Oryzias latipes: one gene and its partner. The main gene of each other region encodes a partner of the protein of the gene in region 2 in a complex. Links are inferred from orthologs where the notes say so. Each region holds a gene or a part of one and is shown on either strand. Other genes may lie near its edges.

What was found. The genes of interacting proteins can lie anywhere in the genome.
Region 1: lsm4 (region 2) and ppih share a complex: the UniProt entries of both Homo sapiens proteins name them as parts of the U4/U6-U5 tri-snRNP complex. The link is inferred for Oryzias latipes from reciprocal best matches to the Homo sapiens genes LSM4 and PPIH.

The regions. Positions count from the first base shown.
Region 1 is NC_019865.2:7,790,900-7,794,555, forward strand, and holds the end of ppih (peptidyl-prolyl cis-trans isomerase H), read left to right. Parts: intron 1-1,054; coding exon 1,055-1,097; intron 1,098-1,773; coding exon 1,774-1,866; intron 1,867-2,033; coding exon 2,034-2,121; intron 2,122-2,207; coding exon 2,208-2,248; intron 2,249-3,201; coding exon 3,202-3,270; 3' UTR 3,271-3,439; downstream 3,440-3,656. UniProt on the Homo sapiens protein: PPIase that catalyzes the cis-trans isomerization of proline imidic peptide bonds in oligopeptides and may therefore assist protein folding. Participates in pre-mRNA splicing.
Region 2 is NC_019862.2:13,834,347-13,838,755, forward strand, and holds the start of lsm4 (U6 snRNA-associated Sm-like protein LSm4), read right to left. Parts: upstream 2,955-4,409; 5' UTR 2,835-2,954; coding exon 2,832-2,834; intron 2,406-2,831; coding exon 2,364-2,405; intron 2,124-2,363; coding exon 2,025-2,123; intron 333-2,024; coding exon 152-332; intron 1-151. UniProt on the Homo sapiens protein: Plays a role in pre-mRNA splicing as component of the U4/U6-U5 tri-snRNP complex that is involved in spliceosome assembly, and as component of the precatalytic spliceosome (spliceosome B complex).

The DNA.
Region 1 (3,656 bases), on a different chromosome or scaffold from region 2:
TTTTGGAAGAATGGTCAAACACACTCCTTACTTAACCTTGTGGACAGCTTTCCCAGAAGAGTTGAAACTGTAATAGTTGCAAAAGGTGGACCTTTTCATATTCAGTGCAAAAACAATATTTGGCAGGAGGGAAAAAAGGCAGTGAACTAAGCATGCTTTCAGATGTGTAAATAATAATTGTTTATTTCCATAAATTTAAAAAATGTTAAATCAGTGAGCAATAGAAAAGTCCAAATCAAATTGGTGTTGGTACTTTTTCCCTCCAAATCAGCATCAAATCTTCAAGGTGCGCTTAACACAGAGTCGGGGATTTTGTAGGATTGTAGAAAACAGCTGTGTAGTAGAAGGCTTAAAACTGTGGGAAGAACAACCAAATTCTGATTCAAGTTTAAAGTAATAACATTTCTTGTCAGGTTTATCTAACCAAATTCTATCTAAATCACCAAGTCTAAACCAAAAAAGGAGGATTGTTTTAAGTCACCCAGACGGCCCGTGTTTGACTTGATCGTAAAAGAAAATGGGGACCAGTTTAGTGTCTGAGATCAGTCCAGGAGATAGAAACCTGCCAGCACTGGAGGCTCTCTTTTAGTTGGGACTCAGCAGTTAAAATGGATAAGAGAGGATAAGATGGGATGCACTTCAAGAATCACAAAGAAAAGCTTAGTTTCTTTCCACTGCCGACATCAAGGCAACTGTGATGAGACAAAAAAAATAGAAAAATACCACAACTAATTAGAAAGACTTGCACCGTACACAGAAACAAAGTGCTTTGTCTTTATAGCTTTGAAAGCTAACTTTTGTGACTCAAAGGCTAAGACGGATCAACAGTTGTGTGCGTAGATCTTCAGTGTACGTTTCTGTCTAATGTCGTGCCTATAATTTTACAATTTATTTCTCAAATAGAATTTTTCTTGACTGGATTGTAACAAAAAATGTTTCAAATATCAGGTCTGACTATCTTTAGTTTTAAGTAAGTTTGCAGGTCACAGCGAATGTTTTTATATTTCTATTGACCCCCCCCCCCCCCCCCCCCTCAACCTTTGTCCCATGGCAGAGTCATCAAGGACTTCATGATACAAGGAGGAGACTTTGTCAATGTAAGTACGCTAACGTCTCGACATCTCTCTTAGGCTGGACAAAAGTAAAAGTTAGATCATGTTAATCATTTGTGTGTTTGCTGGCGTTTGTGTGTTTGCTGGCGTTCGAGTGTTTAATCTCTTTGAGGTTTGGACGTCATTCAACTGTTGAAGCTTTTTCTTCTGTCATTAGCCTGTTTTTTAATAGATCTTGATTTTTCAATGCAGACACACCCTGTCTAACTCTTGCAGGTATACAACACTTCTGAAATAAACCCAATTTAAAATACTCATAAAACTTACAGATGACTTTTACAGGTGAACTAGTACCATTAAATACAGGCTGATGTTGTAGTTTATAAATGCAAAATAAAAGACAGGTTTTTTTATGTCTTGTATTACAATAAATCATAAACTCATGCAGGAGAATGAAAACACAACACAAAGGTTAAGCATCATATGTGCAAGAAATAGAAATTCAAAACCAGATCTAGATGCAGAACTAACCAAAAATGTGAACTGAAACATCTCAGTTTGAGTAGCTTCTCTTTTCCTCATCATTAAGCTATGTTCAGGACATAACCAATTAAATGTTGCTCTGAAATCTAATGATGGCAGGAAAGGAAAGCTTTCTCCCTCTTGTGGTTGAAAGCTGAATTACATCTCAAGAGCTCTGCTGAGAATAGTTGTTCTGCAGGGGGATGGAACCGGCGTCTGCAGTATCTACAGAGGACCTTTTGCAGATGAAAACTTCAAGCACAAGCACTCTGCTCCTGGTCTTCTTTCTATGGTAGGTTTGCAAAGGAATTCACATTTACAGAGTGAGACATCTTCATCAGGCAAAGAGGTTGCCCTGTGAATATTTTGGATGTCTTGTTATTATACATGACATCAGATTCGACTGGATTGAAACATTTTTTGTTTTGTTTTTATTTTTACTATTCACTTCTCTCACAGGCTAACAGTGGTCCTGGGACAAATGGTTGCCAGTTCTTCCTAACCTGCACGAAATGTGACTGGTTAGATGGGAAACATGTTGTTTTTGGTAAATAAGTCGTTATTAAGATAAGAGCGCTTTTTGTTTTCTTCTTCTGTGTGTGATTAAAATTCTTAAATTTGTTTCTGTTTCAGGAAAAGTGGTGGATGGTTTGCTGATCATGAGAAAAATTGAGGTAAAGATGAACCTTTATTGACTATGTTTAAAATGTTTAACAACCAAAAGGGAACAAAGTTGGGCAGCTGGGCTTTGTTTCCAGCAAAGTGTATAGAAAAAAAATTGAAGGGTTCCTGCTAAAAGATCTTTGGTTACCCCGTAAGGAGGTGGTGGGATACTGTTGTTGGGTAGAATTTCCAGCTAATAACCCTTAACATCTTAAAACCGTTGTGATGGTCATAAACTAAAACTTAATTAAAAGTGGGGGCCAAGTAAAGCAAGAAATTTATGTCAATATAGCCCAAAAACCCCAGAACATAATTATTAGGGGGGGGGGAATCAGATTTAAAAGTTTGTACAGGTCTAATCTGAATTTAAATCCAATTGAAATGATATGGTTAATCCTTAAGAGAGCTGTATGTTTGCAAATCTCCTCATAAACATAAAAGATGTGATAATGTGTTATAATAATGTACACGTAAGGGAAAAAAGCTGTTGTTTTGAAGTTATATTTATCTTATACTAAAACCTAATGTATGTTTTTTTTTTTAAATCAAGCATTTTAAAACAGAGAAAGCAGGAAATTTTCCTGGAGTCAGAAATAAGTAACAGTTAATAATTCTTTAAAACCTTAAGACAAATAAAAGAAATTAGAAATTTGGACTTTAATTTCGTAACTACTGTTTGATCCTTTTAGAACTTATTTCTTAAATAGAATTTTTCTTGACTTGATTGTAACAAAAAATGGTTAAAATCTCAGAGGCAGGTCTGACTATCTTTATTTTAAAGTAAGTTTGCAGGTCACAGGGGATGTTTTAGTATTTCTATTGATTTTTTTTCCCCCCTGGTACCAAAACTTATGATCTTTAACCGTGTTTTGAGTATAAAACCTGAAAGGTTTGGGAAAATGGGCTGCAAATTCAATCTGTTATTAATCTGGTTATTCTGAAATGTTCTTCTTTCTTCAAACAGAATGTTCCCACAGGACCCAACAACAAGCCAAAACTCCCAATCCTCATCGCTCAATGTGGAGAAATGTAATTTGTTTGAAGAAGTTCTGGTAAACGTCATCTTAAACTCCATGATTTAGTTCTTGTAGCATCCAAAGTGTAAACATTTTCTAAATTTTCTTCTCGGTCCTTAGACAATAATTGTTGGCTCCCACACTGTTATCATGAGGAACAAATAAAATTGTTTTTTTTACTAAAAATGTTGCATTTTCCCCTCCATATTTTTACATGTTGTTGGTCATTCCACAAAAGTTAGATTACATTGCTTTAAGTGTGCATTTAAAATATGTAAATTTATGCAAAAGAAACATTTTTTAGTATTTTTTAACAAGCCATATTTTCTAATAGTTTTGATTCCAATTTTTTTATTGGAAAAAAATTTGCTTTTGTGTTTTCCATGTTTCTTGTTCCTAAACT
Region 2 (4,409 bases):
TAGAATAATAAATTCCTAAACAAATAAAGATGATGTTTCACCAGATGTGTTTAAAAGCTTTAACAGAGGGATTTTTTACTTATTTTAAGCTGATCTAAGTCTCATTAAGGCAAATCATGACAGAACAAATGCAGAAGTTGCTTCCTCTCACCTCGGCCGGCTCCGCCTCTTCCTTTACCCTGCTGCTTATTCTGCTGGGCACCTCCACGTCCACGACCCTTAGAAACCACCTCATCCTTCACCATGTCAATAATCTCATCTGGAATTCGCAGATACTTGATGGTACTTCCCCTGATGTAGCACTCTGGCATCCTCCAAAACTTATCACCATCCTGTGGGAAAAAGACCAAACGATGAGTGTAACCAGTATACTTCAAAGGGTCTATGCTAAATCCCTTTTTTGAACTTCCCGGTGTATTATAAAGAAACCTCAAACCAGTATTGACCCATTCACGCATTTCTGAGAATTCCTCTAAAAACCTGTGCTCCAGGAACCAGCCACACCTAACCCACAAAAACAAGCGGGTTCTCACGAGCTGATGTAGATAAGTGAGAACAGCCCCTTCCAGGAAGAGTCTGCGCTGCCAGCCCCGCCCCCAGGCTAAAACACACACTCCATGAAGCTAGTGGTGTTTGGCAAAACTCTCTTTACATGCTCAATATGCACATTCATCTTTACGAAAGTTTGAATGTTGTTTGTTTCGTGGGCGAGACACAGACATGTTGTTGATGCTGGCTATAGGTTGACATCATGGAAGTGCCGGTGCCTCAGATCCAGTCGTCTTGCTTCCAGGTTGGAAAATAACTCAGGAAAATAACTAATATTCATTCATCATTTTTTAATTCATCTTCTAAACCCGCTTTGTCCCTTTTGGGGTCACTGGGCTGCCGGGGCCTATCCCAGCTACTCATGGGTGAAGGCAGGGGGCTTCCTGGACAGGACACCAGTCTGTCACAGGTCCACAAATCACTCACCCATGCACACTTGCATTCACACTTATGGACAATTTAAGGTAACCAATTAACCTACGAAGGTGGGAGTCCCCGGAGAAAACCCACGTATGCACGGGGAGAACATGCAAACTCCACACAGACAGGTTCTTTTTCAGGTCCCCCAGCCAAGTCTTGGACCTGGCTGGGCTTGCAGTTGGCTGGGGGACCAACAGCAACCAAGTCCCCAAAACTTGGCTGGGGGATCTTGCGCTAACCACTGCGCCACGTAACTAATATTTAATTTAAAAAATCTTTCTTTTGTGGGCCAAAGGTAATATATATATGGATATTCTTTACCATGAATGGTTTAGGAATAGCATGGTACAGGGCCTTTAACAATAATCAGTCCTTTTTCTTCTAACAAAAAAAATTAGCGTTGAGGTTTTTGTTCCAACATGTATCAAAGGATGTTTTACTAAAACCATTGCTTCATTATACATTAGTCTTTATATTTTAAAGGCTCACTTCAATTATCTTTTGATCTATTCCCAGTATTTTGATTTTGTTTTTTTTCATTATGCAGCTTTAAGCCAAAATGAAAAACTTGTCTTGTTTTCTAGGACAGTTTCTGCAGAGTGACAGAAGTTCATTAGAAATATACCTAAAAAAGCCTGCCGCATTTTCCAAGGTCCCTTTGTTTCCACTCTCCTGCTAGCTTACACACCCTCATACCCCCAATCTAACACCAAGTGCAAGAAAATTGGTGGGGAATGTTGAAGCTATACAGACGTACAGTTTAAAGCCAGATGCCAGCTCAGACGAGGAAAACCAAGACGTAAATGGATCTAATTGCCTACAAACTTTCTTTATATATGTCCGTCATTATGAGAAAAATGCCACAAAACATGTTAAAAACCAAACCAAACAAATACACTATTTTAATTGGGGTGGGTCTTTAAACGGCTAAGGTAGTCAGAATGAAAACTGAAGGAAACAGGTAAGCGACTGTTAAATTTAAGCTAATTTTTTTTATTTAAGGTGTGCAGTTTATGGATCGTTCTCCACTGAGAACATGAGAGCAAATCTGTTACCCTGGATGTGCAGATGACTTCTCTCAAGTTGATGTTCATCCAGTTGTCACAGCTAACCAGATGACCGTTGTAGGTTTCTCCATTCTTCAGTTCAACCAGCTGAAAAAAATCAAAGTTCATTGAAAAAAAGGTCAGCTGGTGATTATGGTTTTCTAAAAGGTTCTTTCTTTATTCAAAAAGAAATGCACAAAAATTATTGTTTAAAGAAAAACATGCAAACAATCTCAATAACAAAACAAAAAACCTGATCTTAAAACCACAAGTAACTGAATAAAATGGTTTAACCAGTAATCACCAGATAAGGAATAGAAGGAGGAAAGAAAAGCAATTATTTCTTACCATAGGATGGTTCTGGGCCGTCTTCAAAAGGGACAAGGGAAGCTGCGAAATAGTAGAAATGGGTCCGATTTATGATCTCTATGATATATTAAAATAATGCATTCTAAAAGGAATATTGATTCAGAAATGAAGAACACGTCTGAATGTATTTCTGTGTCGGCGGAGAAACTTAAGCTCTGTTCCGAACTATAATGATTCGTTTGTGTTTAGTTTAGTACTAAACGTGTATCTGAAATGGTGACCCCCCCCCCTTATATATTTATATAGAAAATAATTTTAAAAAGAACCACTTGTATAGTCAGCGTTCCACAAGCAGAAAACAATTTAGCATTGGTTGCTAGCGTAGCTTAGCCTTGATTTGCGATGTTTAAACCAGTTACATGGGATTTTTGAAGCCAAAGAACAGGTCAGTATTTTTATATAGTGTGTGATTTTTACAAAATAGTCCATTTGTAAGTAATAACTTACCATTCTGGTAGGTTATGTTTGTGCTGCCTTAGATTAGCAACACGATTTTTACTCGCAGACTCTTCTTCGTTTTCTACGTACTCGGTGCCACGTCTTATTAAAACATGACTGCCCCCTAGCGCAAAACATGCGCAAACACAGGAGCATTTTCTTTTGTTCTTTTACTGTGACGAAATTCAAAAATAAATACAGAGGACCAAGTGTAACATCTATCTATCAAACACAGGAGCATTTTCTTTTGTTCTTTTACTGTGACGAAATTCAAAAATAAATACAGAGGACCAAGTGTAACATCTATCTATCTATCTATCTATCTATCTATCTATCTATCTATCTATCTATCTATCTATCTATCTATCTATCTATCTATCTATCTATCTATCTATCTATCTATCTATCTATCTATCTATCTATCTATCTATCTATCTATCTATCTATCTATCTATCTATCTATCTATCTATCTATCTATCTATCTATCTATCTATCTATCTATCTATCTATCTATCTATCTATCTATCTATCTATCTATCCATCCATCTATCTATCCATCCATCCATCCATCCATCCATCCATCCATCCATCCATCCATCCATCCATCCATCCATCCATCCATCTATCTATCTATCTATCTATCTATCTATCTATCTATCTATCTATCTATCTATCTATCTATCTATCTATCTATCTATCTATCTATCTATCTATCTATCTATCTATCTATCTATCTATCTATCTATCTATCTATCTATCTATCTATCTATACACAAACATTTCCTTCAAAGCATAAAACCGCTTAATAATATCTTATAGCAAAATCCTGTGTCTCAAATTTCAGATTGTACCATTGCTGATTAGTTCGCATTAGGTATGAGTGTCTAGACTAAACATAATACAGTAATTTTTTCTTCATTTTCAGTGAAATGCATTTTTATTCCTTAAATTAGTACAGAATAAAATTAAAAAAAATAATGATGATAAAATGAGGATAATAGAGAAGAAAGAGAAGAATAATATTGAATAGATCACTGCCACAACTCCTTGTATTATAAAAAAGGAAAAGCTGGAATTTTGTTGCGTGTACATGTGACACAGTGACAATAAAATAAGTCTATTCTATTCTATTCTGTTCTATTCTATTTTATGATTAAGGTCTGTCTGGTTTTGGTAAAGTCTAAATAAATGTGACAGTGGTTTAAAAAATAATAATTTTTTTCATTACCAAATGGATTCATGTAATTGAATTACGTGAATCCTTATATAATTTGACCAACACGTTCATATTTTTGCTGGTGCAATTTTTGCAACAACTAATTTATAGCTTGGTACTTAATTAAAGTCTTATTTTATGATAAAACACAGGCAAGACAATTGGTTGTATTAAAATAGGATATTTGTGTAGTTTTTATTTATTTATTTTTTCTTTTTGTTTTTTCCCTAAGTTGACATTTCTCAGCCACCGTAGCCGTCATTCCGTTGATGGCGTCATTACGTTGGGTTTGACGCAGCGTGCAGGATGAGAGAGAACGGCAGGTTTCTTTTGATTGTGGGAGAAGGAGTCGTCAGCTGTGAGGGTCTCC